Lonchura striata: one gene and its partners. The protein of the gene in region 2 interacts with the protein of the main gene of each other region in a pairwise test. Links are inferred from orthologs where the notes say so. Each region holds a gene or a part of one and is shown on either strand. Other genes may lie near its edges.

Region 1 (9,465 bases), on a different chromosome or scaffold from region 2:
CCTGCCACCCAGGATCTCCCCGCTGAGGCTCCTCTCCCTTCCCCACCTGCTGTTCACTTGACATTTCTTGGAATAGTTACTATATTTACCTGCAAGAGCTTTCTCTTGTACACGGCGGGCTGGGGGGGTGGGAGGGGGGGCGCGGAGAAAGAGGGGAAGGGATGGTGGAACGGGCCCGGGATTAACACCAAAAACACACTGGGAGCCATCTCCCACTTTGGCACCCCATCAAGCGCTGGGGAAAGCAGCTTGGAATGGAGAGAGAAGCCGGACAAGCTTAGTGCCCAGGCTAATTAAATATGCAGTCCTTGGAGAGGGGCCTGCAGCGTGAGGAAAGACTGGCTGAAGAGAGTTTCTGCTTTTGAAGGGTGCTCTGTTTATTTAAGTGTCAGCATCCATCCCGAGGTGAAAAGGTTAGCACTTGACCCAGGAAGTTCTCCTGTTTGTGCTTCAGAATTAGATTGGGATCATAAATTCCTCCCAGTTACAGAGAATGGAGAGAAGGGCCTTATATTGTCTAAAAATAATATTTTTTGAGCATAGGAGAGGAAGAAGTTTTGTGTAGGATGTCAGATTGGGCAGCTAGTTCTCTGACTCTGACAAAACAACACAGGAGGGGTTGTGAGACTCTTACTCCCTTTGCCCATTGGAAAGACCCCAGTAGAAGAAAAGAAGGGAAACAAAAGCGCTGAGCCCAGCCTGTGACTCAGCGCTGACGTCACGCAGAGGTAGGCAGACAAGAGCTACCTGAAAGTGGAATATATTTATTACAGACATTATAAGGACCCGTAAATCCTGCCCTGGCTTCCACCACTGGTGGAATCACAGAGCCTTTCATGATTGTACAGAAAAATCAGGACATTTTGCTCACACACGACAACTGATAGAACTCAGTGTACCTGCAGTACAGCAAAGCACGGTGCGTCATGCAAAGGTCTGGACACCAACCACAGAAATTATACATTCATTTGGCCATTTGTCACATTCACGAGTAGTTTGAAAAGACATCGAGTCTAAAGGAAGGTTAATATGAAAATAGGAAGAGGCGAGGTCTTTTGGATGCTTGTGCCCTTCAGCTGCACATAATCCAACACAGCTTTTGGGGCAGGGGGAAAAGGAGGGGGGACAAGCACACTGGGCAAGGTTTAAAAAAACCTAGTGCAATTGAAGCCTTGTTTGTCACATTTAAAGAAATAGCGCTACTTTTTTGAGGTATCTGCTTGAGCTTAAGACGTTTACTTGATACGGTCATCTACTTTACCAATATAAAAATGGATCCAGTTTGGCGAATGCACTCACCCTGCTTAACCTGATAATCGAAACATCATTCTAGAAAAATCTGTAAAAAGATAAATCTCTCGGACAAAGTATTTACAAGCAACAAATACATTGACACGAACAAAGAATACATTAAATTAAGGGGATGAATGTCCTATAAGTCGTGTAAACACTTGCAATAGTGCATCTCTTTGTGAGGTTATGTACCCTAAATAACCTGTCTTTCACTCAGGGAAACTCGGTGGAGCGTCCTTGCAGTGGTGGAGGGGGACCCTTACGCGGATGCCAACACAGCTCCACCCTTAACAGAAAAGGAAGGGGGGGCCAGGAAGAAAATTCCCCTAGCACCAAGGCGCCGGGACCCGGCGGAGCCGGCACCCCCGGGGCCGGACGGCGGCGGAGGTAGCGGGGGAGGGAACGGCAGCTCGCCGGGACCTCTCGGGGATACCGACCGACCGAGGGACCGACATAAGAGCGGCGGAAGGACGCGTGCCGCTCCGGCGGGGGCGTCGCGCCCGGCGGCCGTCGGGGCGCAGCCGGTCTCAGTTGGAGGCAGCGAGCGTGTCCGAGGCGGAGGAGGCGGGCGAGGCGCTGCAGGGCGAGGAGCAGGACTTCTCCGACGAGTCCTCCGCCTTCTCCTCGCAGCCCGTGGGGGTGGCGGGGGAGATGGGCAGCAGCCCCTCTTTCTCCCGTTTCTTTTGCTTCATCCGCCGGTTCTGGAACCAGATCTTCACCTGCGTCTCGTTGAGCTGGAGAGAGGCGGCGATCTCCACTCGCCTGGCCCTGGTCAGGTATTTGTTGAAATGAAACTCCTTCTCCAGCTCGGTGAGCTGCTTGGTGGTGAAGTTAGTTCTGACGGTGTTGGGCTGCCCCACGAAGCCGTACTCGCCAGCCTTGCCTGCGAGGGGACATGCAGCGGTAAGTGAGCGCAAATGATTTATAGGCGATGTAATCAATATGTCCACACCGGCTAAGCGATAGGGAGCAAGAACTTCTTAGGATAAGAGGGAAACCCCGGCAGGGTGAGTGATGGAGTACGAGGTGCTAAACCGGAGTCAGCCTCTAGTGTCAGAGCAAACTTGATAAGTGGTTTATGAATTACCAGAAATATGACCACGGGAGAGGAGGAGAAGGGGGAGTCAGGAATAAGTGGGGAATAAGCGCCGCTGGCTTTCAGCTGCGCGGGCAGGCAGCCGCGACTGATCCCAGAGGTGCGGGCCGACCTACCTGCCCAGAGCCCCGCGGGATACCGCGCCTCTTTCCCCGCACCTGCGGCGGACAGAGAGAGGAGCGGCCCCCGCCCCGGCCCTCCCGCCGGCCACTGACCTGTTTTGGGTGGGTTTCTTTTCACTTTCATCCAGTCGAAGGTTTGCGCCGGCGGCGAGGTCTCGGTGGAGGGGGAGCGGGCGTTTTCCCGGTGGCCAGCGTGGAGGGGAGACAGCGCATGGTTGTAGGTGCCCAGGGGCAGGCTCTGCTGGTCCTGCCCGTAAGGGGGAGGCACGTACTGAGCGGAGGCCCCCGCGTAGCCCTGGTGGGGGAGCGGGTGCTGCGCAGCGGCAGAGGAGGAGATGCTCCCCGAGTACACGGCGGGGGCACAGGGAGGGAAGCCGCCGCCCAGCTCCGCGTCCTGCCCCAGGGGGTAGGGGCCGTACGCCGGTCCGAAGCCCTGCGCGCTGTAGGTCGGGCCGCAGCCGGGGTGCGCGTAGGACACCCCCAGCCCGCCGTGGTGCTGGTAGGCGGCGGGCTGGGCCGGGCTGTGGTGATGGTGGCGGTGGGGGCTGATGGGCACCCCGCGGCCCGCCAGGAAGCGGTCCTCTCCGCTGCAGCTGCCGGCGCTGACGGCGCAGGGCTGGAAAGTTGTAATCCCGTGGTCGGGGTGGTAGGCGCGGGCGGCGCAGGCCCCCGCCTCGCCGCCGAGGACGGGGTACTCGAGGAAGGAGCTCATCCTCGCCGCGTCTGTCTGTCACGCCGCCACCGGGTCTTCAGCGTCCGGCGGGGCCGCGCCAACTTTCCCACTTCCTCCATGGGGCCGGCAGGAAAATGACACGAAGGCGCCGGCAGCGGGCAGGCACGTGGGGGGCGGCAGCCAATGGCTGCGGCGCCCGCGGGGCTTCCCCGGCTCCTGTCGCTGGTACAGCGCCGCATCGGGGGCATTTAAACGCCGAGCGCTCCGACCGAGCGGCACCGCGGGCAGGGAGGCGCCGGCCGTGGCCCCCAGGGGGTGGGGGGCGGGCCGGGCAGGGCTGTACACACACACCCCCGCCGCGGCAGCCCCCTGGGTCTCGTCCGCCAGCTGAGAGAAGAAGGCAGGAGAGACCTGGAGGCTGCGCCCGGCCCGCGGAGCCCACCGGCCGTCCCCTCCAGGGTGAGTGCTGCTGCCAGTGTGCCCCAGCATCACCCTGCTGTCGGCGCTGTCAAGCCTGCACCGGGCACCTCTGCTGCCCATCAACCCCGGCCAGGACAGCGGCGGGGGTGGGGTGGGGTGGCTAGGGGAGGTGACTGGATCCGCGGCACGGGGCGAGGGATGGGGCGGAGAGAGGCAGAGACAGCGCTGAGAGCATCAGCCCTTGGAACGGGAATGAGAATGGGACCGTGGGATGCGGCTGGGGACTTCTACCGGGACGGGAATTGAGATAAGAAAAGGAATGAAGGTAAGGATAAGGTAGAGAATAAAGAATAGGCATGGGACCGAGGATATGGATATGGATGGGATGTGGGTGGAGGTGGAGACGGTAATAGTATCGGTGCCGAGGGGGTCTCGCTGGTCCAGCCCCGCCGCAGTCCCAACGCGACGCCACGCCAAGAGTTAAAGGGGCTTGTCCAGCCGCATCACCAGGCGGCCGCGGACATTAGCATGGAAATTAGGCGCTTTTGGGACTGACGGCCATTGTGCTCTCCCAGGCTCACCGGCCACCCTCTGGCCCCCATCCCTTCTCCCCCCGCGCCTTCGCCGGGCTCACCCTCGCCAGCCTAGGGAAGGAGGAGCCGGGGGCAGGAGGACGAATGATTGGACGGGGGCCCGGGGGCTCCGCAGCCCATCTGCTGTGCTCCCGCAGCGCCGCTGCCGCCCGTCCGCCCTGGGACAGGGTGGGGGGACGGCTGTCCGGGGTGTCGCGGGTCGCAGCCCGAGGAGGCGACCCGGGACAGGGGCAGAGGAGCGGAGGGAGGCGCAGAGCCCGCCGGCCCGGCCTCTTTGTCCCTGCGCTCCGCCACCCGGGTCGGCGGTAGGGAGAGATGGCAGATGGCCAGTGGCAGAGGCGGCCCCAGGACCCTCGGGAACGGCTCTGAGGATCGACTCCAACCCAGCCCTCCCCAACACCGTGGGGAGGTGGGTCAAAAAATTCGTCCGTGGCTAGAGAAGGAGGGATGGCGGTGAGATGTAGGTTACGACCTTATATGCGTTTTACGTATGCGGAAAGGGAAAGGGGAGGTAAAGGCCGGGCATCCGTCTGTCCCAGCTCACCCAACCGTCTGCAGGCAGAAAGGACGGGACCAAAAGTCTTCAAAATAAGTTCTGCGAAACGTCAGCCTCGGAGAAAGATGGATGGAAAGTCATGTCCCCTGACACTAGCCCCAGAAGGGGCTACCCCCTCTATTTCTGCAGGTGCCGACTCTTACGTCCCTCTGTTCTCACGCTCGATCCTTGCTTGTTTTGAAATCCAAAAGGCTCTTCTACCACGCTACCACTCCCCGCTCACGAATACACACGCACACACCCACATACACACCCTCAAGCTCCTCCCTCCCACACGAACTGCGACACAACAACACTAGGTGCAAAGCTCTCCTTCCTACTGCTATTGGGTCAGCCCTTATCCCACGGCATCTGCACGGCCGCTCTACTGTCAGCCAAAACCGACGGGCGCCTCTCCACCACGCATCATTCCCGGTGCCCTCAGTACGTCTATTTGTTCTGATTTACTACAGAGGCGGGGATGGTTAAGGGCCCTCTGGAAAGGTTCAGTTTCTTAAACTGTAGGGGGGTGGAGTGGAGGACAAGAGCAACAACACTCTAGAGGCGTTTATGATATTATACTGCGCCAATTTTGGTTATGGCTGCAGCTGTAAACACATTTATTTCATTCTTGTAAACCCGTTGTGATAAATACTGCACAAAGCAGAGAAAAAAAAAAAAGACAGCGATTAGTATTGCTTACTAATAAAAGGGCTGACATCTTCTCAATGCTTTTTCCTTTAGCCAAGGGAAAAAAAAAATATTTTACTACAACTAGATCCCTTTTACCCGTAAATTCCGATCAATCACTTTTCTTACAGTCTCCAGCATCCTGAAATCCTTTTTCCTCTGCCTTTTTGGTGCCATTGTCTCTTGTTGCATTGTTTCCCTGGCGGGGCTCTCGGGTTTTGCTGCCCGCACTAAGCATGGGGGCAACATCATGAGAAGGGTCGGAGCAGAGGAGGAGCACACACCACACCCTCCGTCCTCCGCGGCCAGGCGAGGGGGAGCTACGGCCCCTTCCCCTTGCCCTCAGGCCATCCCGGCCCCTCCGCGGCTTCGCTCCGCGTTTCCTGCCACGGAACTGAGGCTGAGGGGGCGATCCCGGCTGTTTAGGCTTTTCCGTGGGAGTGTGCCCCAGCTGTGGCCCCATAGTTCACCCAGAGCCTCGGAGGCGGGTTCTGCTTGCTGAATTCCCCCATTTATTTAAATTGAGTTTGTGAGAAGTTTAAACCTTGTAGAATATTCCCATTTCCTTTTTATTTTCGTTTCTTTTTTTTTACATCTCTGGGTTTTGTTTGGGGGTTTTGTTTTATTGTTTGGGTTTGGTTTTTTTAGTTCGTTTTGCTTTGGTTTTCTTTAAGTGTAGTCAGCATCCGGAAATCTGGGCACAAAAGAAACCCCAAGCCTTACAGGAACGTTGCGGTCCAATTTAACCCAGTGGCAGGGGAGTGAAAATGCCGGTGAGGCTGCTCGCTTTCCGCAGGGACATGGCTGGAACAGAGGGAAGGAGGAGAACTGAGGCCGAGGTTTCACCGCGCCCGCAGCTCAGCCAAGCTGTTGTTTTAAAAGAGCAATAAAAGTGAATTATGACTAAACGCCTTCTCACTTAATGGTTTTAGACGGGGATCCCCAGCCTCGGCAAATACGTAAGAGGATTTTTATTTGTGAATGTGTTCCTGCAATTGATCTCTTTGATGACATTCTCATTCATAGAAAGAGTTTGATTTATGACTTTCGGAAGAATTGCGTTCAGCCCTTCCAGCTATAACCCACGCATCCCAGCTCCACAGCGTGTTACAGGGCTGGGAGACAGCACTGCTCTCATGGACGGACCCCATTCACAACCCCCCACCCAAGCCCCACTCGCTTGTGTAACGTGACCGCTCGGACTCACTCGCACTCACACGCATTCAAGGAGCCGCGAATGTCCCCGCACGGGATTCCCTGGCCCCGGAGAGGCAGAGCCCCGCTGGCATCTGTTGCTGTGTTTTAGCCCGAAGGACGGGGCTCACCCTCTGCTTTGGGGTTCGGTAACACCGGGTGGCAGGCAATTTGGTGGAGATTTCTGAAAGCCCGTCTAGCCGCCTCCAGCAGAAGAGCAGTGAGCCCGAGAAAATTGTAACTTTAAAGTCAGAGGTTCCCCTTTTCGTTATCAGTCTTTCATCTCTCGAGAAGGCTTACACAGAAAAATATCTTCGGGTCTGCCCCCGCACCGCCCCCGAGAAGGATGGAGTGGAGAGGCCGGTTCCTCCCTAAATATTTTTTCTTCCCCCTGCGTTTCTGCCACCCTTTTGATTTCACAGGCACTAACTTCTCCATTTCCTCTCCTCCTAGGGCTGATTTCTTGGATTACTCAGCACGTGAGAAGTAACCAACCACATTATTTGTGAGCTCTGATATTTTTAAAGATACGTTTTCTGAAATATCTTGCTGGCTGCTAAGCACTACTTTCTAGAAAACCAGGATTAATTAAAAAAAATAATTAAAAGCAACTTTCCTTTCGTTCATGTAACAGGCTGGTGGTTTCTGAAGGAGACACTTACCCTATTGAGTCACTCTTACGTTCTGCCTGTAGCAGAGAAAGTCTTCATTCATGCTTTTGTTACAGCTCAGGATTTCCAAGCTTTGTATCCTCACAAAGATGCCATATTTATACATTAAAAGGAGCAAATGTCTATAAAATCTGTGAACGGTTCTAATTTCTTTAGTTTGTTTTTCCTTCCCTTATGAGAATCCTTACAATAAAGGAAATGAACGATTTTTTCCTCTCTAATGAGTGTCCTAGATTGCCAAAAGGGAAGAGCTCGTTGTCAAAATGTTGGATTTTGATTATTAGTAAATTAATAGTGGAAGGGATGGGGAGAGATACCCGTCATGTTATCCGTCTTGAAAGCAGAGAGAAAAAGAGGAGAAAGAGAAAGAAAAAAGAGAAAGCTCCTTGTAGCAAACAAGAATTTATTCTACCAAAAATACTTATGACAACGCATCCTAATGTAATACAAAAATAAAAAGAAAGTGAAGATACATTCCTATATGATCACTTTCTCACAGACCTCATATATTGCTTTCATAGAAGGACCTAGAATGTGGCTAGGTTAAAATTGAACACAACTAAAACTTCATAAGAAACGGCAAAATGGCATATCAGAGAGAAGTAACAAACAGAAAATAGTGAAGAGGGAAAGGGAGGGGAAGCATAAAATTAATTAACTGGGGGAAAAAATCAAGAAAAAATAAGGAGGAGAAAGCAGGACCCTTAGAGAGGACTTCTTTAATTTCTTAGTAATTCAGATGCTGCAAGTCAATTGTGGTGAGTGTGTCTGTAAAAAAGTCAAAACTGTCAGCAGAGATATCTACGGGACTGTCCAGAGATCCTGGCAAACTGGGGGAAACTGCATCTGAAAGCTGTAGGCAGGAATCTGTGGAGAAAACGTTAAAGTCCTGTAAAGAAGGGACATCTAGGGCCTCAGGACTGTCATTGTTCAGGCCAGCTGCACAGTTCTGGGCCATTGTTGAGAGGCAGTTTTGAACAGTGGGTGACTGATGCTGAAAATGTTTCAGATTTTTCTCATTGCTTGTTAAAGGCGAAACGGGGAAAGTTTGGGATTCGCCATTGTGCGCATTCTGCGCCTGCTGCTGGGAGAGGGCATTCTGCTGGAAAGCGTAGCCTTCCCGCTCCAGGAGAGCGCCGGAGACGTTGCTGAGGGCTTGCTCGAAGAGGGATTTCTCCTCCTCCTCCTCTTCTTCCTCGTCCACTGCTTTTTCGGGGTCCTCTAGGTTCTTAAATTTCCCCTCGCTGTTTTGATTCTCCTTGCACTGGGTCTGTCTCTTGTGCTTCATCCTCCTGTTCTGGAACCAGACTTTGACTTGTCTCTCAGTCAGATCCAGCAAGGCTGCAATCTCAACCCTCCTTGGTCTACAGAGATACTTGTTGAAATGAAATTCTTTCTCTAGCTCCAAAAGCTGGGTGTTGGTGTAAGCCGTCCTCAGGCGCCTAGATCCACCGCTACCGCTATCGGGGATTTCAAGGGGGTCTGTTAAAAAAGAAAGAAAAAAAAAAAAAAAGAAAAACACCACCACCACACGCACCCCAAAGCATCACCGCCCGAACAGCGAAAGCAAAGGCATACGGACACACATACAAAACAGATAAATGCACGGATTGAATTTCAGCACCCCAGCTCATCGCATCCCGGGGGGGTGGGGGGGAGTGCTCTCGCTGCATGTATGTGTCTATATCTATATGTCCATATAGCATAAAATAGCAACTGCAACAAAATGGCCGCCTTTGGATGCAGTAAACCCATTGTGTTGCACTGCTGAGCGCCCGGTGCTGCGTGCCCCTCGGCCACCTCCGCCAAATCGCTGCCTCCAGCTCCCCAACCTCCCCACACCAGAGCAAACTTTATATTAGCCATACCGCAATTTATAATTAATGCATCAGCTGCTTAGCTGAGCGGGAGCAATCTATCACTCTTCATTACTGTCAAATATCCTAACTCTAGGACGGCGAGACAAGAGAGGTCAGCTCCAACTCAAATAAATCATCCCGCATTAGGCAAGTTTGGGGAAAGTTTGGGTTTCCATCGACCCCCGCCAGTTCGGTCTTTCCCGCCCGGCCGCCCTCCGCCTCGTCCCCCCGCAAAGCCGGGGGGATGCGGGGAGCCAAAATAGCGGCCCGGCGGGGCTGGCAGCACGTCTTTGGACTGACCTTTGTGGCTGAGGCAGGC
Region 2 (10,247 bases):
TCTCTGCTGCACACATCCTCCTCTCTCTTGAATTTTTAATTGCTGCTCATGTTTCCTCTGAGCTTCTCCCTTTGCAGCCGGGGAGCCAGGAGCCCTTTGTGACCGATAAAGCTGGTTCAGGTTTTCCTTTCACCTTTTGTGTTTGCTTCTCGGTGAAGCCGGGGTCGTTGCTGGGTTTAATTAACACAGTAAGGAAAAATGCATGAGTTTATTTAAGCAGGAGGAGAAAGGGAAATTCAGCTTCCCCGCTGCTCTCAGAACACATAATCCTATTGGGAGCTGAGGAGTCATCCCTACATCGATTCTTTTCCTCTGTTGAATAGCGAATTAGCAGCTAATGGAAGTGAAGGATTCACAGTGCTGACAGGCTGGAAGAGCAGCAGCTCCTCAAATTCCCCTGCAAGGCAGCGCTGCCTGCCCTGTGCTGCCAGGAGCTGGAGAATCCCGTGTTCCACACCTGAGCTGGAGAATCCCGTGTTCCACACCTGAGCTGGAGAATCCCGTGTTCCACACCTGAGCTGGAGAATCCCGTGTTCCACACCTGAGCTGGAGAATTCCGTGTTCCACACCTGAGCTGGAGAATTCCGTGTTCCACACCTGAGCTGGAGAATCCTGTGTTCTCACCTGAGCTGGAGAATCCCGTGTTACTCACCTGAGCTGGAGAATCCCGTGTTCTGTATCTGAGCTGGAGAATCCCGTGTTCCTCACCTGAGCTGGAGAATTCCGTGTTCCACACCTGAGCTGGAGAATCCCGTGTTCCTCACCTGAGCTGGAGAATTCCGTGTTCCTCACCTGAGCTGGAGAATTCCGTGTTCCTCACCTGAGCTGGAGAATCCCATGTGCTGCCAGGAGCACACAAAATCCTGGGATATGATTCCATGCAGGTGCTTTTATTAAGAGCTCTGGGAATCAGGGGTCCAGACCCAAATCTGACTCCGACACGGCTTTCGAGCTGAACATATTTTATATTCTATCGTTATATAACTCACATATTAATTACTAAACTTATATTATTCTATTGTATACATTGACATGAGTTTCTCGTGATTTCCTAGGCCCCTGACCACAGTTTCTCATGATTATTCTTACGATTAAACAGTAATTATATTTAATTACTAAACAATCATCACATCTAACAATTATATAATTTATCATGTACTAGCTACACAGGTGCACTTCTAGTAAGGTACAAAATCTTCGTATACTTAGGGTATTTATTTTCTTTCAGGGCCTACTAAGCTTAATTTTCCTTTTAACCCTAAATCCCCATGATTTTAAACCCTTTTACTATCATTCTGAGGAGCAAATTTGGGTGGTGGTTTTTTTTTCTGCCCCTGGCTGGTGATGCTGCTGGCACAGGAGGTCCCTGGGGCCTTTCTGTGCTGTTGTTACAGAGATGGGCAGAGGCAGGAATGCAGCAATTGAGGCTGAGCCAGCGGTGGAGCCTGGAGTTGTTTGGTGACAATAGAAAAGCTCCCTGTCACCTGTGGGGACAGAGGAGTTATGGTGACTAATTGATCCTAATGCCCAAAGCATTTGGGCTTTGCAGCTCCTGCAATCAAATTCTCTCTCTTATCTCCAGGGCAAGGAGAACTGAAGGAAGTGGCTTGTCACAGCACATCACAGCTCCACTGTTTGCTGGCATTCTCTCCCTCTGGGATCATTGTTTTTCCATGAAGACCCAGTAGCTTTAGGCTGGAGAGGAGGCTCCAAGATGAAACTTGGGCAGATCCAGCCCCCCAGGCTTTGGAAAGCACTGAAGGAGAGGGGAGCACTCCTGGGCTGGAGTGGGGAGGCTCTGGAGGGTCCTGGGGTGCTTTTGGAACGCCAGCACATGGGCAGTGCTGGGGATAAAAGCCCAAATAAATCCTGTCACTGTATTCTCTGGGACTTCTGAAATGCAGGAGGCTTTTTATGTTCATCCATGCTTTTCATGGGCAGGTGACAGGGAAGGAGTCATTGCCACCCCAGGGCTGGGTGGGATCACATCAGGATGCAGAGGGATGCACAGACTGAGGATTTGCAGGAAGTGTGGTGTGTTCCTTCAGTTCTCTGGAGGTGCCCCCAGCCAAGCAGTGATGCATGTGCATCTGTGACCTTTGCAAGAATATATTTTAAGCTTTATTTCTGGTGGGTTACAGCCCCCCTGTGTTTATTACCCCTTTCCTGCAGCTGTGGTGACCCAGTCCATGACGTTCTGTGCAGGGAGCTTTGGGACTCGAGGCTGCACAGCAACCAAGGATCAATTAAAAATTCCCAAGGTTTTTTTGCCACGTGTCCCAGGGTGATTTTATGATGCTTGTATCCCCAGTTGTCTGTTCTGTTTGTGCTGGATATTAAGTTCTGCACCCTTAAGATTGATTCTGAGAGCGAAGGAGGTGAGAAGTGCGGAGTTTGTTAACAAATAACAAGATAATAACAAAGAGTGGTTTGACACTTTGTTAAGCACACTAATTATTTAATAACAGAGTTAATAACAAAGTGTGGTTTTCAGAAACTGCACTTGCTCCTCTGCATTCCTTCTCCTGGACTGTGTTGGCTGCAGCACGGACAGACAGCAGGACAGAGCTCTCCTTGGCTTTTAGTTAGTTTTTAGCTGGCTGGGGCAGGGAAGTTTCCTGGATTGGTTTTCTCTTTTTTGTGGAACTGCTCTACCTTTCTCTGCACTGAAAACCCAGAAAAACACTGTGAGCTCACACCTGTGGCCCACTGGGGTTTGGGATGCAGCAATTTCCAGCCCAGAGGGACTGATAAAGAGACTGAGAGAGCTGATCCACGCCTCATGATGAGGCATGTCTGAGTTTGCCATCTCTTCAGAACAGTGAGAGGTTCCATTGTTTGATAGGGTTCATTTTCCATCTCTGTGAGCACTTTGCTTGTTAAATAAACAGTTTTTTCCACTTCTCTCTAAGGAGGTTTATGTCTCCCAAACCAGTAGCAGGGAGGGGCTGCTTAATTTGCTTTATACAGGGACCCCATTCAGAAGTTTCCTCACAAATTTGCCCTAAACCAGAGCACTAGGCCAGTGGTGCAGGGCAAGTCCCATCTCCCAGAGGATGCTCTGGTGTTGGAGCTGGAATTTTGGCCCTGTCCCAATTACAGGCAGAGGGGAGGAGCAGCCTGGAGCCTGCTCTGAGGATGCTGCATGTCTGCCTCTGGCTGGCCAGGGGCTCTAATTGGTGCCAAACTTATTTCTTTTGGGCCACCTGGCTGCTGAGTTGGTTCTCTCCATTCCCTGCTGCTGCTGAATTTGGAATAACAAACAAAAGTGCGTGTGTGTGTGTGTGTGTGTGTGTGTGCAGTATAAGTTCAGCATATTGATTTTTGAGGCTATTGCTTCTCAGCTGCCGAAGAAGATAATTCACTGCTTTATTACCATCCTTGGATTTTAGATTTATCCCTCTAAACAGACAGTGAGCTGGTAGTTAATTAAGCTTTTGTTTCAAGCAGCAGCAGAGGGAAAGGACTGGCTGCTGCAGCTCTTCTCCTCAGGGATGAGGGCCCTGGGGGGTGGGGAATGCCACATTCCCATCCCTGGGGTGATGGATCCTGCATGGCTGATTCCGGTGGGAACTGGGAACTGCAGAAGTTGTTCCCTGCTGAACCCAGCGCCCTGCCAGCATCTGCATGGAGATTGACAAGAGCATATTTCTATATTTTATTTTATTTTATATTTTATTTTATTTTAATTTCCTGGTCAGTGCTGCAGGAGGCACCTGGGGGAAGCCAAGATGGCTGAGCTGCCTTCTGCCTGCCCAAAAAACATCCAAACCCTTTGGGGGTGTTTTCCAGCCCAGGATCAGCTCTGGAAAGAGGAGTGGGAGGACACCATCCCTTCTCCCCTCAGTGTCACCCACCCCTAATTCTTAAATAATTAATGTGTGGTGCTTCACCACTCCCCAGGATTTTCCTGCTGGGCAGAGCTGGATTGGCACAATCCAGAGTTTGTGGGATGCACAGAAGGACCTTGGCATTATCCTTATGGAGGTCAGAGGGTCCCACCCCACAGAACTGAGCCCACATCAGCTCTGGTCCCCTCTGGGATGTTCCCTGTCCCTCCCAGGCTCTCAGGAAGGCACATCTGGATCCTGGCACATGCCAGGCTGCTCCACCACCCACTCCATGCAGCGTTTTTGTGCTCTAGGAAAGTTTCCAGCCCCACAGAGCTGAGCTGATTTGGAAAGCAGTTCTTGGAATGAAGGGCTCTGCCTCCTGCTGCCGGCTGGAGCCGGGCTCTGGAGGGCAGCACCACATTTTGAGGTGGTTTCATAGCTCAGGTGAGCACCGAGAATTCCTGTCAGGAGCTAGGAATGGAGTGAGAAGGCAGGAAATCAGGGTAGCAGCATCCCCACAGCACCTGCACTTCACTCCTTGCCCAATGGGCAGTGAAGAACTCCAGGTGGCTTTTCCAGAGGTGCTCCCAGCTGCACTTAAATTAGCAGGGACTGAGCACCCAGCTGGTGTCTGGGCTCTGCCCGTGCCTGGTTGTGTCCACAAGGTCCCCACAGGATGGGCTCCAGGGAAGGGTGTCCTTGCCAAGATGAACTGAGGGTTTGGCTTGGCAGGGCTGGCTGCTGCTCCTGAGCCACACTTCCTGCAAATCCTCAGCCTGTGCATCCCTCTGCATCCTGCTGGGATCCCACCCAGCCCTGGTGTGGCAATGACTCCTTCCTGCCCACAAAACACGTGGATGAACACAAAAACCCTCCTGCGTTTCAGAGGTCCTGGAGAATACGGTTTTACCTCTCACTTCTGCTTGAAAAAAAAAAAAAGCTGTTTTATGGGGGAAAAAAAATCTGGTTTGGGGTAAATTTCCAGCTGCTATCCCTGAGCTCACTCGTGGCTGGTGCTGTTGCAGCTTTATGCTCCCTGGAGCTTTGCTGACCAAGGCCATTCCTGGTTTCCACTGGGGAGAAGGAAGCAGTGTGAGCATCTGGAGTGGCCATGGAAATGCAGTATCACAGCAGCATTTCCACCTCCTCAGCCCCACGGAAAACCCTGGGATTATGCACAAGCAGGGTCAGTTTGTAGAGGAGTGGGTGGCTGGTGCTGGGAGGGCATTGGAATTGCTCAGCACTCGAGGTGCAGATCACTAAGCCAGGCCAGGCAGGTGGGGCTGGAGGGAGTTTTCTCTCTCTGGAGGAAAATGGGATGGAGAAAGGCTGGGAAAAACCATGGGAAGAGAGCATCCCACTGTGGGGAAGGCAAAGGGACAGCTGTGCCCTGGTGTCACCCTGTGCTTTACGGTACCCATGGTGGTATCCAGAGCAAAGAGGGACAGCCAGCCATGAGGGCAGTGTGGCATGAGGGGGCTCTGCTGGCACCACAGCCCCCAGACCACAGCCTGGCCCTGTCCTGTAGCCTGGCCGGGGGGGGACAATGTTGTCCTGTGCTCACCCCAGGGTGCTGCATCCTTCCCTCACCCCCAGTGGGGTGCACCCATCCTGGCTGGGGCTGGAAATGGGGCGTCTCTGGGCTCTGTGCACACTTGGCTCCTTTAAGTCCCAACTTTTGGGAGGCTTTTTGTGCTTGTCACCTTCCACAGGAGAGCCGGGAACACCTCTGCTGAGCTCAGCACTGCTTCTCCTGCCTCAGCTCTCACGTCCCTTTGCCCTCCCAAGGACACGGCCCTGGTCCTCTTGGCAGCACCCTGCACCACCCGGGGGGACTTTGGGGAGCCACATGGTGGCTGTCACCGTGCACCCAGAGAGAAAACAGCGATGGGGCCGCAGAGCTGCATCCTGCTGCTGTCGAGAGACTCCAGACCCGCCTTTCCCCACTAGGGAGGTTTGTCCTGCTCCTAAACACCCCCTACAAATCAAACAGCACCCGGGCACGGCGCTCGGTGGCATTTCTGCTCTGACTGCCCCGCCAAAGGACCATCCCTGCCTCCCGAGGTGCCCACGCCGGGGCTGTCAGCTGCGCGGGGATGCTGCCCAAAACGCCATCCCCTGACCTCGGGGGGAGGCTGCCGCAGCCCCACATCCCCTGCCCCTGCCCGACCGCCCCTCTGCGGGCCGGGTTGCCGCTAGATGGCAAGCGGAGCCCGGCGGAGCCCGGCGGAGGCTCCGCGGGGCGGAGCGGAGCCGCAGCGCGGGGTGCGCGGAGCCGAGCGGAGCCGAGCGGAGCCGAGCGGGCCCGGCCATGGGCTGGGGCGGCAGCGGGCAGGGGCGAGGGTAGGGCTGGGGGGCCGCGTCCCCCCGGAGCCCCGCGCAGCCCCGCGCCCCGCCCGCCGAGCCCCGCTCGCCGCCGCCCTCGCTGCCGCTGGGGCGGTGCGGGGCCGCCCCCTGCCCGCAACTTCGAACGATGATCACTGTCAACGCGGATGGCAAGATAATGGTCAGAAGATGCCTCGTCACCTTGAGACCCTTTAGGTAAAGTTGGTGCTCGCTTCTGGCCGCCGCCGCCTCGCCCGGCTGCTGCGGGCGGGGGCTGCGGCTGGCCGGGCTCGGGCTCCGTGTGCGGTGTGGGGTGTGCGGATGGAGCCCGGATGGGCATGGCAGCGAGCCGGGCTGGGACCGGGCTGGGACCGGGCAGGGATGCGGGCAGGGACTGGGCAGGGACTGGGCAGGGACCGGGCAGGGACCGGGCAGGGATGAGGGCAGGGACCGGGCAGGGAACGGGCAGGGATGCGGGCAGGGACTGGGCAGGGACTGGGCAGGGACCGGGCAGGGATCCGGACAGGGACCGGTCTGGGACTGGGCAGGGATCCGGGCAGGGACCGGGCAGGGACCGGGCAGGGATGAGGGCAGGGACCGGGCAGGGAACGGGCAGGGATGAGGGCAGGGACCGGGCAGGGACTGGGCAGGGACCGGGCAGGGACTGGGCAGGGATCCGGGCAGGGACCGGGCAGGGATGAGGGCAGGGACCGGGCAGAGATCCCGGCAGGGATGCAGGCAGAGATCCGGGCAGGGACTGGGCAGGGACCGCACAGGGACCGGGCAGGGACCGGGCAGAGATCCCGGCAGGGATGAGGGCGGGGATTCGGGCAGAGACCGGGCAGGGATGAGGGCAGGGACCGGGCAGGGACCGGGCAGGGATCCGAGCAGGGATCCGGACAGGGATCCGGACAGGGACTGGTCTGGGACTGGGCAGGGATCCGGGCAGCGATATGGACAGCAATCCGGGCAGGATGCGGGCAGGGATCCGGGCAGGGATCCGAGCAGGGATCCAGGCAGGGATCCAGGCAGGGATCCGAGCAGGGATCCGAGCAGGGTTCCGGGCAGAGATCCGAGCAGGGATCCAGGCAGGGATCCGGACAGGGATCCAGGCAGGGATCCGAGCAGGGATCCGGACAGGGATCCAGGCAGGTCTGCCCGCGGGGCAGCGTGCGGCTCCTGCAGCTCCCGCTGCCTGCCAGCTCCCGGTTCGCCCCGCCGCCGGAGGTGTCTCTGGGGTTATCGCCGGGCTGCTCGCCGCTGGATTTTTTGAGAATGGTTCTAGGAGATGTTGGTACTCCGGGGGAATTAGGTTCCTCTGGTTTAAGCCTGCTGGTGCAGCTGGGGATTTCGAAACCCACCTTGAGCTGGCAGTGGGGCTGGGGTGGATGTCCAAACCTGAACCCCTCCGGCTCCAGCACACCCGTACCCACCCATTGCTTTTTCCCCTTGCTGTAACTCCCCATTTTTGCTTCCATACATTCCCTTCCCTCTCCAGCCCCTGCTCTCCGGCTTCCTTGATTTACTGGAGATGAGCTTCTGTTGCTCCCGAGCTTGAGACACACGGGAGATGTTGGAAGTTACCTGGTTTTTCCGTGGGGAGAGGGACCAAAACCCCTTAGAGATAGAGGCGAACGTGCCGGGGGACGGAGCTCAAGGTGGGGCGAGCCCAGCCCAGCGGTTTCCAGCGCTCCTCGCTGTGTTTGGAGCTCTGGGGTCACCGCAGGGATCTGCTCGCTGCCTTTTTGCTTAGCCCGGGCTACCCCCGGCTGGGTTTGCGCCGCTCGCTCGCTCTCAGGTGTGGGCAGCTTGTCTGCCTCTCCTCGGGAGCTGCTTGCCTCTGCTTGCCTGGAGCGATTTCTGCTGCCTGCGGCTGGGGAACTTGGCCGAGGGGATGCCACAAAGCGCTGGCAGAGGTGTGAGGGCTCCCAGAGCTCAGGAGTGGAGCAGGGAGTGATGCGAGGGACGCGAGAAGGGCGCACTCACCCGGGGAATGCTCTTTGCCTGGCTGTTTGCTCTCTTCACTGGCTTTGAATTGCACAGTGAGGAAGCGACTGGCTGGAGCATCCCTGTGCCCTGGGCATCACCCCTGAGGCAGGGGAGCCCCGTGTCCAGCAGTGACCTGGAGTCAGGGTGGGAGAGCACAGGGTGATCACAAACTCCCATTAGGGATGGGGATGTGTGTGGATGAGGGGTTTGTGATGGCTGGATGGTCTCTGGAGTCCAGGTGGAGAACTTGCACTGTCCTGGCCGTGTGCCCTGGGCTGGCTTCTGCTGTCCAACCAGTCCAGACCAGTATTGGTGCCACTGGAACCAGCAGGGTTACCTCGTTGTTAACAGCCAGGCTCTCTCTGCAAGAGGAGGAATTCCCAAGACCCTTTCCTTACTGTCCCACAGTGTCCAGGACCTCTGCACCTCCTCCCTGCTGCTGTCATGCTGCATGTGACCCCCCATGCCACAGTCCTGTGTCACCTTGCTGCCAGCCCTGCGTGGGTGAGTGCTGGCACTGCCCAGCTCCAGCCTTAACCCAGTGCAAATCACCTCTTCTCCCCCAGCATCAGCACCCCGCATCCTCGGCTGCTGTGGGTCAGGGATAACTCCAGCAGTGGGAGAAGGTCCTGGCACTCAGGCTGGGTCCTGTAAATCCTCCCCTGCTGCTGGCTGGGCAAAGCCTCGCTGCCCGTGGTGCGATCCCTGCCTGATGTGGATTGCTGCCATCAGAGGTGAGGTGCCATCAGCAAACAGCACACAGGAAACCTGATCCTGTGCACCAAAACATTTCATTAACCACCCTCCAGACACGCTGAGCAAAGCAATGCAGGGCCCTGAGCTGGGAGGGAGGCTGCAGAGAGGGAGCAGATCGGTCTGGAAAAGCACAGGAATGTCCAAGGGCGGCTCTGACTTCATCCCAGCAGCAAAGAGTGTCTCGCTTGCCGTGGTGCTGGATGCAGGCAAGAATTCACCGAGGAGCCCTGCTCCAGCTCGCCCAGCTCTGGGCTCTGTGGGTGTGTTTGCCAGCTGGGAGCCAAAGCCAGGCTTTCTGTGGGATGTAACAGAGGTCAGTGAGAGTTCACTCTGGTCCCTGCATGGATCACAGTGCCCGTGGCTCAGCACCGGTCTGACAGCACCACAGCCCTGTGGGGCTCTAAGCAAAAAGGGATTTAAGGAGAGGAGTCGTTCATTAACATGACCTCTGCTGGTAGGAATGGTGGCTCAGCTTTTGGGAGTTGAAGATTTGTCTGATAAAAGATGTTACCTGGCTCTTGGTTTCCCCCCCTCACCTGGGTGGGATTCTCCCTGTGGGTCCCAGCTGGGTGATGTGACACCATGGGCACAGTCCCAGTGTCACATTCCCAGTGTCACAGTCCCATCCTGCTGGGTGCTGCTGGCCTTCCTCCCCCCACCACATGCCAGCTCAGCACTCAGACCCTCCTGGTCACATCCAGCTTTCAGTTCCACGGGCCAAAATCCTCCATGACTGGGGCATCACTTCCAATTTTCATTTAAGACTTGAGGAATTTCACTTTTTTTTTTCTTTTGGGCACCAAGCCAGAGCCCAGAACTATGAACATTTCAGTTTGGGGAGGATGTGGAGAGGGACTTGACACCAGAACTGTGTCCGAGTGATTAATTAAACATGACATGGGATGACAGGCAAAGCCAGTATGCAGGATAGGTGTTATTTGGTCCTTGGAACTCCAGAGTCTTCAGGGAGTTAGGTTTGATTTTGGGAGAGAGGACCATCTGGGATCTGTTATGTTTTACCTACTTTGTGGTAAATTTATTTTCTGTATAAGGAGTTTCCACTCAGGTGAGTCTGGGCCAGGCACTTTTATTCACCTGGAGAACATCAGCAAAAGTAAGGGAGTTGGGGTTCTCAGGCTGAGAGTCCAGCCCTGCACCATCCCTGCTCCCTGGAGCACTGCTCTGGGCTGGATCCACTGATCCCCCAAAGACAGCAATTCCAGTAAGGCTCCAATTCATCTTTTTTTTTATTATTCTTTTTTTTTTAGGAAAAAAGCATCTTGCATCTCCCCTACTCTCTCTGTAATCCAGTCAAAATGAAAAAGGTTTTGTTTCCTAGGGAGA
Region 3 (10,348 bases), on a different chromosome or scaffold from region 2:
GCAGTTCCCGTTTCCTCCTGCGCTTAGCCCACGGGCCCGTGGTGTGCGACCACTGTCGAAACCCCGCGGGGAAATGTCTCGGGTGGAAAAAAGCATTTGGGAGATGGACAAACCGAGACACAGTGATAGATCCATAGAGATCGAGCCGCTTCGGCCCAGTCGTTCTTTGCCAGGATCTTTCGCTCATAAATCTCTGTAAAGAACTGCCGAAGCACACACATACACACACACACACATCTCTATATATAAAAATATAAAAATAAATATATGTATGCATGCACATACACACACATACATACATATGTTTCTCGCCGTGTGTACTAACATTACCAAACCCCTCGAGTCTGGCTAAGAGGGGCGCATATATATATATGTATGCTATATATGTATATATACACCATATATCCATATATAAATATATATGGTGGCATAGGCTCCGAGGCGTGTAAAAATCGAGCGCCCTCGCGGTAGAAGTTTGTGTCTTCAGCGCGTACTGATTTTATGAGGGCTCCCATCCCCTGTCCTTCGCTTTCGGCCTGCACGCAGAGCCCGCGGCCTGGGGGACGCGAGCCGGGAGGGGCCGGCAGCGAGACCCGCACGGAGCGGATCGGAGCTCGCCACGCCGCGATAGCGAGGGGCAGCGGCTTGCTGGGACACGGCCCTGGCGATTACTGGGAATAACCAGAGCGAGGGGAAGTCGCTCGGATGGCATTTTGCTCCATCTCTGCGGCGCTTTTCGTCCAGCCCAGAGGGTTCTTCCCCCCACAGTCAGACCCTTCCCCACCCTGGCCTTCCGCTGCTCCCTGCACCGCTCGCCGCCCACTTCTCGAACCGGTCCCCAGTGCAGGGCCGGCGGTCGCTACCCGCTCCGGGCGGCATCTCTCCGTGGCCGAGAGCTGAATTCCTCCTCTCCGACCTGGATCCCAATTTTGGCCATTAACATCCAGCCCAGAGCAATCCGTCGCAGCGCTCCCCAGAAGGGGCGGCTTCCCCGAGCCCCCCGCGCTCCGGCGGCCCCGGAGCAGAGTTCGCTCCCGGCGGGGCTGCAGCCCCTCTTACCCGGACTCGGGGCTCGGTGAGGTTGGTCCAGACGGCGATCTCCTCCCTCATGCTCATGTCGGGGTAGCGGTTTCGCTGGAAGGTGGCCTCCAGCTCCTGCAGCTGCTGGCTGGTGAAGTGGGTCCGCTGCCGCCGCTGCTTCTTCTTCTTCGCCGGGTCGTCGGCGGCCCCGTCTTCGTTTTTCTGCTCGCCGCTACGCTCTTTTTCTGCGAGGGGTCGGGTTGGGGATGGTTGGTTTATTTTTGTTTTGTTTTGTGTTTTTGTGCTTTAATTTTTTTCCCAGTACAGACACACAAAGGCAGATATCCCCGCCCCGCAGTCAGCGCTGCCCACCCCACCGGAGACACGCGTGGGGGCCCCACTGTGTCCCGCCGAGCCCTGCACCAAACGAGCGCCCCACAGCCCATCCCGGCCTTTCCCGGCGCGGCTGGGGAAGGAGCAGGGAGCCCTGCCGGGCCCAGGGCACCCAGGGATGCAGCAGGAGGGACCCTCAGAGCGGCTCAAAGCGGGCCCGACGGGTGACTGCATTCGTGGGGAGCGGGGTCCCCGTATCACCGGCCGCTCCGCCTTTCTACGGCACCTTCTCGCTCCCTCCGAACCAAGGCGTGATCTTTGCTCCATTGTTTTTGTTGTGCTCGGCCGCGACAGGAAACTTTGGAAGGGCAAGGGTGGAAAACCCCGGAGCAATTAATTGCAAAAGGCCCCTCTCTGCTCCCCTCCTTCGTTCTACTTTCATAATTATTTTATTCTTCAACTTTTAGGATTTTGGTGTTTATTTTAACACAGGGCTGAGCGAAGCCCTCCGCAAAAATCATATCGGAGAAGGAAAGAAAAAAGAAACCACCCAGGAGGGTTTTCTGGGCCGGGATTTGCGCGGGCTGGGAGCAGGAATTCAATACCGACCCTGCGAACCCCCTCTCCCCTTTCGTAACGGGCTCTGTGGCTCTCCCAGCCCGGCTTGGGCCCGGTTTGTCCCGGCTGAAGCGCTCGGAGCGGCTCTAAAGGCCCTGAACCAAAGAGCTCCCGGGCTGGGCCCCGGAGGCGCGGGGAAGCTGCGGCCGGGCCGTGCAGGGCCGGGGCCGCGGCCAAGCCCGGCCTCGGTCCTGCTGCTGCAGAAGGGAAAAACCGCGGCGAGTTTTCGCCCTTGGAGTTTTGTTTTTTTTTTTTCTCCTCCTTTAAAGAGTTTTTTTTTGTTTGTTGGTTTGGGTTTTTTGTTTGTTTTTGCTTTTGTTTTTAAACAGAAGGTTTTCTCCCGCCGCCGGCGGGCCCGGGGTTATTTCTACAGCCCCGACCTCTGCGAGGTAAGCGGGAGTCTAAAAATAATCTCGTGCTGAATGCAGAGCCCGGGAGGACTCGTCCTTGCAAAGTCACCCTTGAATCGCACCTTGCTGGGAGCCCTGCACAGGGAAAGGGGTGAGGGTGCGAGCGAACCTCAGCTGCTCAGCGGACCCCCAAAAGGGGCCGATGGCTCTGCGGGGTTTGCAGCGAAGCCAAGGCCTCTCAGCGCAGACCCCACCGCCCCGGGCCCCCCGGTCCCCAGACCGGCCGAGCCGCATGGCCCGGCGGCGGCGGCGAAACAGAAACAGAAATCACCCCCGCCAAAACAAATCCTCCCGCTTGGGCCGCGAACGGCTCGGATCAAGCGCCCGAGAGGGAGCGGGGCGATCGGGGAGCGGCAGCGGTCCCGATGGGCTCCGGCCGCGGCCCCTCGCCCAGCGCTGACTTTTAACTCGCCCGGTCCGCCCTAAAAATCCGGCCTCAGCGCAGGGCTGTGATACAATTCCAAATCATAAGGCAAGGCATCTTTAATCGGCTTTTGTAACTACTTTTTTTTTTTTTTTTTTCACATTAAAAAAATAAAATCTAAAGGCATTTTACAGGTTCTCGGAGAAGAAAAGCAGGCAGCTCCTCAGCCCTCCGGCAGCACCGAGGGGTCACACACAGGGGTAGGGCAAAATGGAGCAAATCTCCCTCTCTAATCTCCAATAATCCCCTCTAATCTCAGAGTCCCTTCCAGACGCCGGTCTCTAACTTTGTTTGCGAATCAGGCCGGGCAGTACAACCCAAACCTTTTTCAATCACCGAGTGCCACTTTGGGACCGACTCTTACAACAGCTACTCTCTAGGTTAAAATTCCAAAGAGCAACAATAGCTATTAGAAAAATAAAATTATATAAAACATAAACTCCCTCTGAAACAGTCTGGCTGGAGAAGGAATATCACACTCCTTCTTTAAGTTTTTGTTCCTCTCTTCTACCTTTCCCTTGTCATTCTAAAAATGTTGTTGTTTTAATTAAATGCAATCTGAGAGCACAGCGTTCCCTGTAGCCCTCGCACACGATGGTCAGGGCATGGGGATCCTTCCCTTTTCCTGCGGGGAAAGCGTTCAGCTCCCACGCAAAACCTCTCCGCGGCCGCCCACATCCCCTCCGCGGCGGCCCGCACTGCCTGCCTTGGCCCCACGCTGCCTCTCCGGCTCTGCCTGCCCTTTCTTTCTTTTTAAAAAAAATTCTTTTCGCTGACAGAGAGATCTTTTTCCATCTCTGCACCACCCGAGCTGGAAAATAAACCCGGGCAAAAGCTGACATTATTTCAGAAACATCCGGCAAAACCGCACTCCCCGAAGAGCCTCCCCTTCCTCCCGACCCCATCAATTAATAACGACAGTTTTTTATTTAAAAATAAATAAAATAAATAAAAGAGAGCAGCTCCTGGGATGGGACCATGGAGCCATGTGTCCCCCCGGCGGGCTGTCAGCGCCGGGCACGGTGGGGGAGGCAGCTCCAGGAGGGCCCCTGCCCCCCGCTCCGGTTCCCGGGGCTCGGTTGGGATGGAGTCGCCGCGATCACCGGCAGCTCCTGCTCACCCCTGTCCCTCCATCGCCTCCATCGCGGGCTCGGCACCCCCGGCCGCCCCGCGGAGGGAAGGCGCGGTGGGGAGGGGGAGGCAGCGCGGGGGGAGAGGGCCGGGGCCGCGGGGGCGCGGGGAGGGGGAGGGTTACCTGGCACCTCCGTGTCGGAGGATTCACTGGCTGAGTTGTCGATCGGGTCTCTGGGTTCCGAGGATCTTTGCAAATGGAAGCTGGAAGCCATGTCATGGGAGGGTTGGGGTCTCAAGCTCTCAGGCAGTCTCTCCAAATTCATTCCACCTTTAAAGGAATCCATGGCAGGGGCGCCGGGCTGCCTGGGGGAGTTTGCAGGTGTTTATTCCACACAGAAAGGAACAAGGAGCTTTTTTTTTTAAGAAGAAAAAAAATCAACAAAAACCAAAAGCAAATCCACTTATTACTAACAGTATTATTTTAAGGGTGTCGGAAGCAATCTGGGCAGTGCGTGGAAGGCGGTTGTCTCTGCTGGGGAGAGTCACGGCGCTCCGGCCGCATAGGCAGGGAAGTGGTAAAGATCCCTTATAGAGAAACGCGAGTTGCGAGTTGGACAGTTTAAAGCTAAAGAGATTAAAGTGACCTGCCCTAGAACAAATGCCTGTAGTTAAACGGGGCTCCTCCCCCTGAAGGTTAAAACCTCCCCGTCTCGCTCATGCATCACTCCATCTAGCGCTGGCCCAGCCCGGCCGCGCGGGACCCAACTCCGCACTCCCCGCCATCCGCGCCCCTTGCGCGTCCGCGGCCAGACCCGCGGGCCCCCGCCGCCCCTGCCCGGCCCCCGCCGCCTGGCCGCGGCTCCTTCGGGGGTGCCTTCCCTCCTCCTTCTCTTCACCCGCCTCCTCCCCCAAACTCGGTGATGTATTAAAAATATTTCACAAACGAATGGAAAGGTGGACAATCCTCTGGGGACCCCCGCCCGCTGCCAGCACCCCGTCAGTTCACTCCCCTCCGTAATCCCCTACCAGCCGGCAGCGCGCAGGTTGCGCCCCCGTGCAGCACGGCAGCCCCACGGGTATCCCCACACCCTTCCAGACTGGGCCTCACGACCCGCGGAACCTCCGCACCCAGCAGTGGATGCGCACCCGCGCACTCCTCAGGGTTTCTGCGCGGGGCTAAGTGACCCCACCACACATTTCAGTCTCACGGGGAAAATGTTCCTGGAGGGGTGCATGGGCTGTGGGCTCTGTCGGAACTGGTTTTAACCTTTTTAAACATTATTTTCCAGTCTGCGGGGGATATAAGAACGCTGCCCGGGCCCGGCTGGCGGCCAGGGGAGCGCAGCCCGGGGAGCAGCGGCAGTGCCATCTCTCCCATCACACCATCTTTCAGCACACGATTAATAACAAATAATTTTCCTGCTGCAGCCGAACTCGCGTTGACCCTCGGGAGGGGTCTCTGCGACTATGCCAGTCCGGGAGCCTGGGCAGCCTGCGGGGAGGGAGGTGGGAGACCCCCACCCCTCCTCGGCAGAGCCCCTCTCCTGCATTGATGCATCCTGTCCCGAGGCAGGGGCGTGTGGAGCACGGCCCGTCCCCGGTGCGGCCCACGCAGGCCGGGATACGGCCTTAGCCCTCCTGGATAACAACTCGGTGTCTTGGCGAAGTGGAAAATCCCACGGGAGAAGAAAGGTGGGAACCGCGGGTACCGGCGGTGAGAGGAAAGGGGAGAAAGAAATGGGAGGAAGACCCTGGCTCTGACTGTCTAGGGAAAGGACCTTCTCTCCTCTCTACTTTCTTGGCTCATTTTAACTGATCTATCCTGACACTCTATTTTGCTTTCAAATCAAGTAAAGATGTGGGAGAGAACTTTTGAACTGTTTTATGGAAAAGTGGAGGGAAGCAGTGTTGCAGCCGCGCAGGATTTTTCCGACCTCACGGAGATGATGGAGTCGGGCCCGCCCCGCACCCCCGGCAGCACCCCGCAAGGCCTGGGGACCCCAGGTGTGGGAAGCCCAAAGCTCCAAATCCCTTCACCTCTGGTCTTTAGCATCATTCAGGGCATGCACATGTGGGTGCTGTCAGGGTCATCTCTCCCGAGCTCTCTTTCTTTTTGTTAATTTTTTTAAAGTGACATCTTGATGTCCTTCTGGCCTTCGCCGCTCCCAGCTGAACTTCGCTCAGGAGTCTGCAAACGACAGGGAATTTCGAGCACCCGAGGTGAACCAGACAACCTCGGGGCTGTTTAAGATGGACGTGGTTTAAAATGCAAATATTTACCGGGGTCTCCGAGCCTCAAGGGGCTCAGCTGATGCAGGAGGCACGGGAAGGATGGAGACCTCCTCCAGTGTGAGAAGCAAGAGGTGGGAGCGGCCTTTCTCCCAAGGAGGGGGGAGGTGTATTACTGCAAACGTGCGCCGTATCTGAGACCCTTCACCGTCCCCTTTTTTCCCTTTATTTCCGTGGGCGGCAGCCCTGGATGGGCCTGCGGGGGCTCCCCCGCCCTCGGCGGAAGGGGGACGGAGCGCAGCGGGCCGGAGGGAGGGAGGCGTTGACCTTAAGGGTCTTTTTCAACCTTGATGGTTCTATGATTCCACGAGTCTGCCAACAGCCTGGCTCCGCTCCGGCTATTTTAAACCCACTGCTCACAGCAACCTCCGAGCCGGAGGCAGCATTTTCCCGTTTCATTTAATTTTTCTTTTTTTAAAAAAATAATGCACCGAATTACGTTTTTTATTCTGTTCTATAAAATCTAGTTTTAAAATATTCGTTCTAGGTTCAATTCCTCCCCGCTGGACGGAAAGATAGGCTCTGCCCGGGCACCGGCGTGATTCTGCCGAGGCGGCGACCGCGGTAACGCCGGGTCCTGTTCTCTCCAGGCGATCGCTGCCCTCGGTTCCTCGTGGAGTGTCACCGGGGCAGACATCCCCCGATACCACCCTTAAACAGAGAGCACCGGGCTGGCCCTCGGGAGCCGGAGCAGATCCAGGTTATCCCCTGACCGTCTCCATGAGTGTCCGTGCCTGGGCCGCGGCGTGGGCGGGCATTTAGCGCACACCTGAGCACGGCTCGGCAGTGGGAGAATATATCTATATCATAAATCTATCTAATCTAATCTTGTATCTATCTAATCCATACCATGTATCTGTCTCCTCTGTGTGTCTCATACGTCTTTCGTGGATTTAAGGGCATCCTCTCACTCCGCACTCCGTGCAGTGGGCACAGTCCTGGAGCGCAGAACCAAATCCTCCCGGTAATTCCCGCTGCTGCTCCCGACACTTATGTCACGATAGAGCGCGCCTCCAGGGCGGTCACCCCCAGATCTGCGCTTCTCCTCTTCCCTCCCATCCAAGCGCTCAGCTGCGGGATGGCGAGGACATCTCTCCGCCGGCAGCTCCTTCACCAGGCGTTACGTCACGGTCCGCTCGCGTGACGTCATTCGTTGCCTCGCTGACCTCACGTCACGCCTTTCGGCCAGGCACGACCCGCGGCAATCCTTGATGTCCCGCTCGGAGCCGGCTGCGCTTCCCGGGGCTTGGAGGCGGCCCAGCGGCCGCACAGGCTGGGCAGGACGGGGGCACCGGGCTCGGGTGCCGCTTTCTCCCACCGCCTCGGGGGGGCTGAGGAGCTGCGGGGAGGAGCAGGAGCCGCAGCAGCCCGGCCGCGGAGACCCCGCCAGGACGTCCCTGGGGAGCCGCGACCTGCGTGGGCGTGGGAAGGGCCGGGCAGAGGCAGGGGGAGGGCAGGGCCGGGGCGAGCAGGACCCGCGGAGCATCGGCGGGGACCCGGGTGGCGGGACAGCTTCTCGTGGGAACGCTCCGCGTGGGGTGGCCGGAGGGCACCGCCGCTCCGCGCCCGCGCAGCCACCGCGCTCCCGGCACCGCCGGCTGGGGACTGCGTCAGGGATGTGTAAAACGCTGGAAACCCGCAAATAAAACCGCACCACTTCCTCCTGCTATAAATAACCTCAGAACTAAGGATGGAGCTTAGAAACAAATCAGCGCTGGCCACGCCAGTGACAGCCTCGTGAAGAAGAGACGCGTCTGTCCGAGAGCGAGACTCTCACTGTCCCCGAGGGGACAGCGCCGTCTCACCCCCAGGTGTCTGGAGCGGGTCCCTACTTTTGGAGTGGCGCTCCCATCCCCGCTGGTTGCGGTGGTTGCAGCCAATGCCAAACCACCTGGGCCATATATCAGGTGATGAAGTTCAGTCTCTGCCAGCTTTTCCTTTTCAGATTTATTACCGCTGTATAGACTAAGATTCAGTCTATAAATCATTGGGAATTGTTACAAAAATGAAGACACGTCCTCCCAAGCACACCTCTACCCGAGAAGAGAGGGAAGCCTTCTGAGAAACAGAGGTGCAGTGAGGCAAGTGAGGAGGGAGAAGCCCCCCAAGGCAAACCCAACCAAACCCAGTTCAACCAGCCAAGTGCAGTCCAAACAACGCCAATTCAAACAAACGCAGTCCAACCAAACCCAATCCAGCTCAACCAAACTCAAGTCCACTCAGCCAAACCAAACCAAACCGAACCAAACCAAACCAAACCAAACCAAACCAAACCAAACCAAACCAAACCAAACCAAACCAAACCGAACCGAACCGAACCGAACCGAACCGAACCGAACCAAACCAAACCAAACCAAACCAAACCAAACCAAACCAAACCAAACCAAACCAAACCAAACCATACCAAACCAAACCAAACTGCAATGAATGCAACCAGACCAAGCCCAGCAAAACCCAAACAATGCAATCCCAGCCAAACCAAGCCCAAACCAAACCGCCAACCTCCCTTGGCGCCCCCTTTGCTGAACCGGAGACCGGACCTGCTGCAGGAAAACAACTTTTAATAATGGAACCATCCAGAAAGTGCCACACGGGCGCACTTTGCTGATGCATGACTCTGACCCACGGATGACCACGCGTGTCGGAAGAAGCAGAGTCCGGCGATGCGCGATGCCCCGCGGAGCACGGGGCGGGGGCAGGGGCTGTTGTTGCACTGTACCGTAGGGGTGGTGTCCGTCGGGGAAGTGTTCCAGGGGTGTCCTGCCTCAAAACAGCATCATCCCAAATGAAAAGCATGACCCTTATGCAGAAGGTGCAGATCCGCGTTTATGCCCCCGCGCAGGGCCAAGCTCTGCTCTCTCCGCGCGACCGTGGCCCAGGCCTGAAGGGAAAAGGAAGCAAAACCCCAAAACGGCGAAAGGAGCCCCAGAACCCCCCGACCTTTGCCGGAGCTAGAGCCGGGTCCCCCACGGGCGGGGTGCAGTGGGAAGCAGTGAGAGGGAAGAAACCTAGCCCGAAGTGCGTGTTAAATCGCTCAGGAGGGGAAGGTGGAAAATTACGCTGGCTCCCGGCCGGCCTGTCCTCCTCTGCGCAGCCAGGACAGCAATTTTCCTAAGAAGTAGAACAAAACGAAAACAGCCCCTTTTGGACGAGCAGCCTTCGTCCCTCCATATGTCGGCCAAGCCTCCGCCTTCCGCGGGAGCGCAGGGCCCCTCCGCGCCGCGGATGCTCTGCGGGAGGGTTTCCAGCGGCCGCTCTCGGCCCCCCGGCCTCCCGCTGCCTCCCTGCCCCATCCCGCTCCCCGCGCTCCGGCCGGCCCTGCCCCACCGCCTCGGCTCTCCCCGCCACTGAAACACGACGGGGGAAAGGCACGAGGGATTGTCCGGCCCTGGACACTTCCCGGGGCACCCGGGATAGCCGGGGCTGCCTCCCCGCCCCGCCAGCCGCATCCCGCTGCGGGGCTCCCCCGGGCGCGGCGGCCAGCGGCAGCGCCTGAAAAAGCTCGGGATGAAAATGTTGAAGGCTTAATGTTTTCTGACAGATACAAATGATACCCCAAGGCTTTCTTGAAATGCAACGACTGACGGCTGGAGAAACGGTTTTTTTATTCGGGTTTCTGCAGCTGGAAGCAGCCGGGGGTGGAGCGGGATGGTGCTGGTTCACTTCGGCCGTCATTCTACCAGCACCCCGAAAACAAAACCATTTCGTAGTTGTCCGACGTGGGACAACTTCTTTTAACACCAAAGCCCTGGCGGCATAGTCTCACCCTTGCCAGGAGCTGCCTTCCAGCCCTCCTCGCATCCGTCAGACCACAGGCACTGAACTCTGCTCCAAGAAAATATGAATTTGCTGCTAGCAGCGGTTTGGATTTGTCTTTGATAAACCTGATGTGAGTGGGAGAGTGTCAGTGCACTGCAATGACATCGTCGGAGGATGGACAGCTCAAGAATATGTTTTTTTTTTTTTTTTTTTCTCTAGGTGGGGGAACAAGAGGGGGGAAAATCACAATATAGCCACACAATTCCCTCTCTGGGCAGAGCGAACATGCTTTTCTGATTAATTGACGGAGGAAGGGGCACCGGAGTTTGCTAGGAAGCCTGCTCATATTACTCTGTGCATCTTTAGATCCCGAAATGTGGCTCTTTTGTGGGCTCAAAAAGATGCCTCTGAAACAGGATAA

What was found.
Region 1: the proteins of MGAT5B (region 2) and HOXA1 interact in a two-hybrid assay, tested with the Homo sapiens proteins (2 studies listed by BioGRID). The two-hybrid records come from large-scale screens. The link is inferred for Lonchura striata from reciprocal best matches to the Homo sapiens genes MGAT5B and HOXA1.
Region 3: the proteins of MGAT5B (region 2) and PITX1 interact in a two-hybrid assay, tested with the Homo sapiens proteins (2 studies listed by BioGRID). The link is inferred for Lonchura striata from reciprocal best matches to the Homo sapiens genes MGAT5B and PITX1.

What each region holds. Positions count from the first base shown.
Region 1 is NC_134603.1:123,484,126-123,493,590, reverse strand, and holds HOXA1 (homeobox protein Hox-A1), read right to left. Parts: upstream 3,224-9,465; coding exon 2,605-3,223; intron 2,177-2,604; coding exon 1,821-2,176; 3' UTR 1,724-1,820; downstream 1-1,723. Other genes in the region: HOXA2 (homeobox protein Hox-A2), read right to left, coding at 8,015-8,769, 9,447-9,465. UniProt on the Homo sapiens protein: Sequence-specific transcription factor. Regulates multiple developmental processes including brainstem, inner and outer ear, abducens nerve and cardiovascular development and morphogenesis as well as cognition and behavior.
Region 2 is NC_134621.1:3,824,626-3,834,872, reverse strand, and holds the start of MGAT5B (alpha-1,6-mannosylglycoprotein 6-beta-N-acetylglucosaminyltransferase B), read left to right. Parts: upstream 1-6,239; 5' UTR 6,240-6,306; coding exon 6,307-6,374; intron 6,375-10,247. UniProt on the Homo sapiens protein: Glycosyltransferase that acts on alpha-linked mannose of N-glycans and O-mannosyl glycans.
Region 3 is NC_134617.1:9,220,727-9,231,074, reverse strand, and holds the start of PITX1 (pituitary homeobox 1), read right to left. Parts: upstream 4,224-10,348; coding exon 4,061-4,223; intron 1,266-4,060; coding exon 1,060-1,265; intron 1-1,059. UniProt on the Homo sapiens protein: Sequence-specific transcription factor that binds gene promoters and activates their transcription. May play a role in the development of anterior structures, and in particular, the brain and facies and in specifying the identity or structure of hindlimb.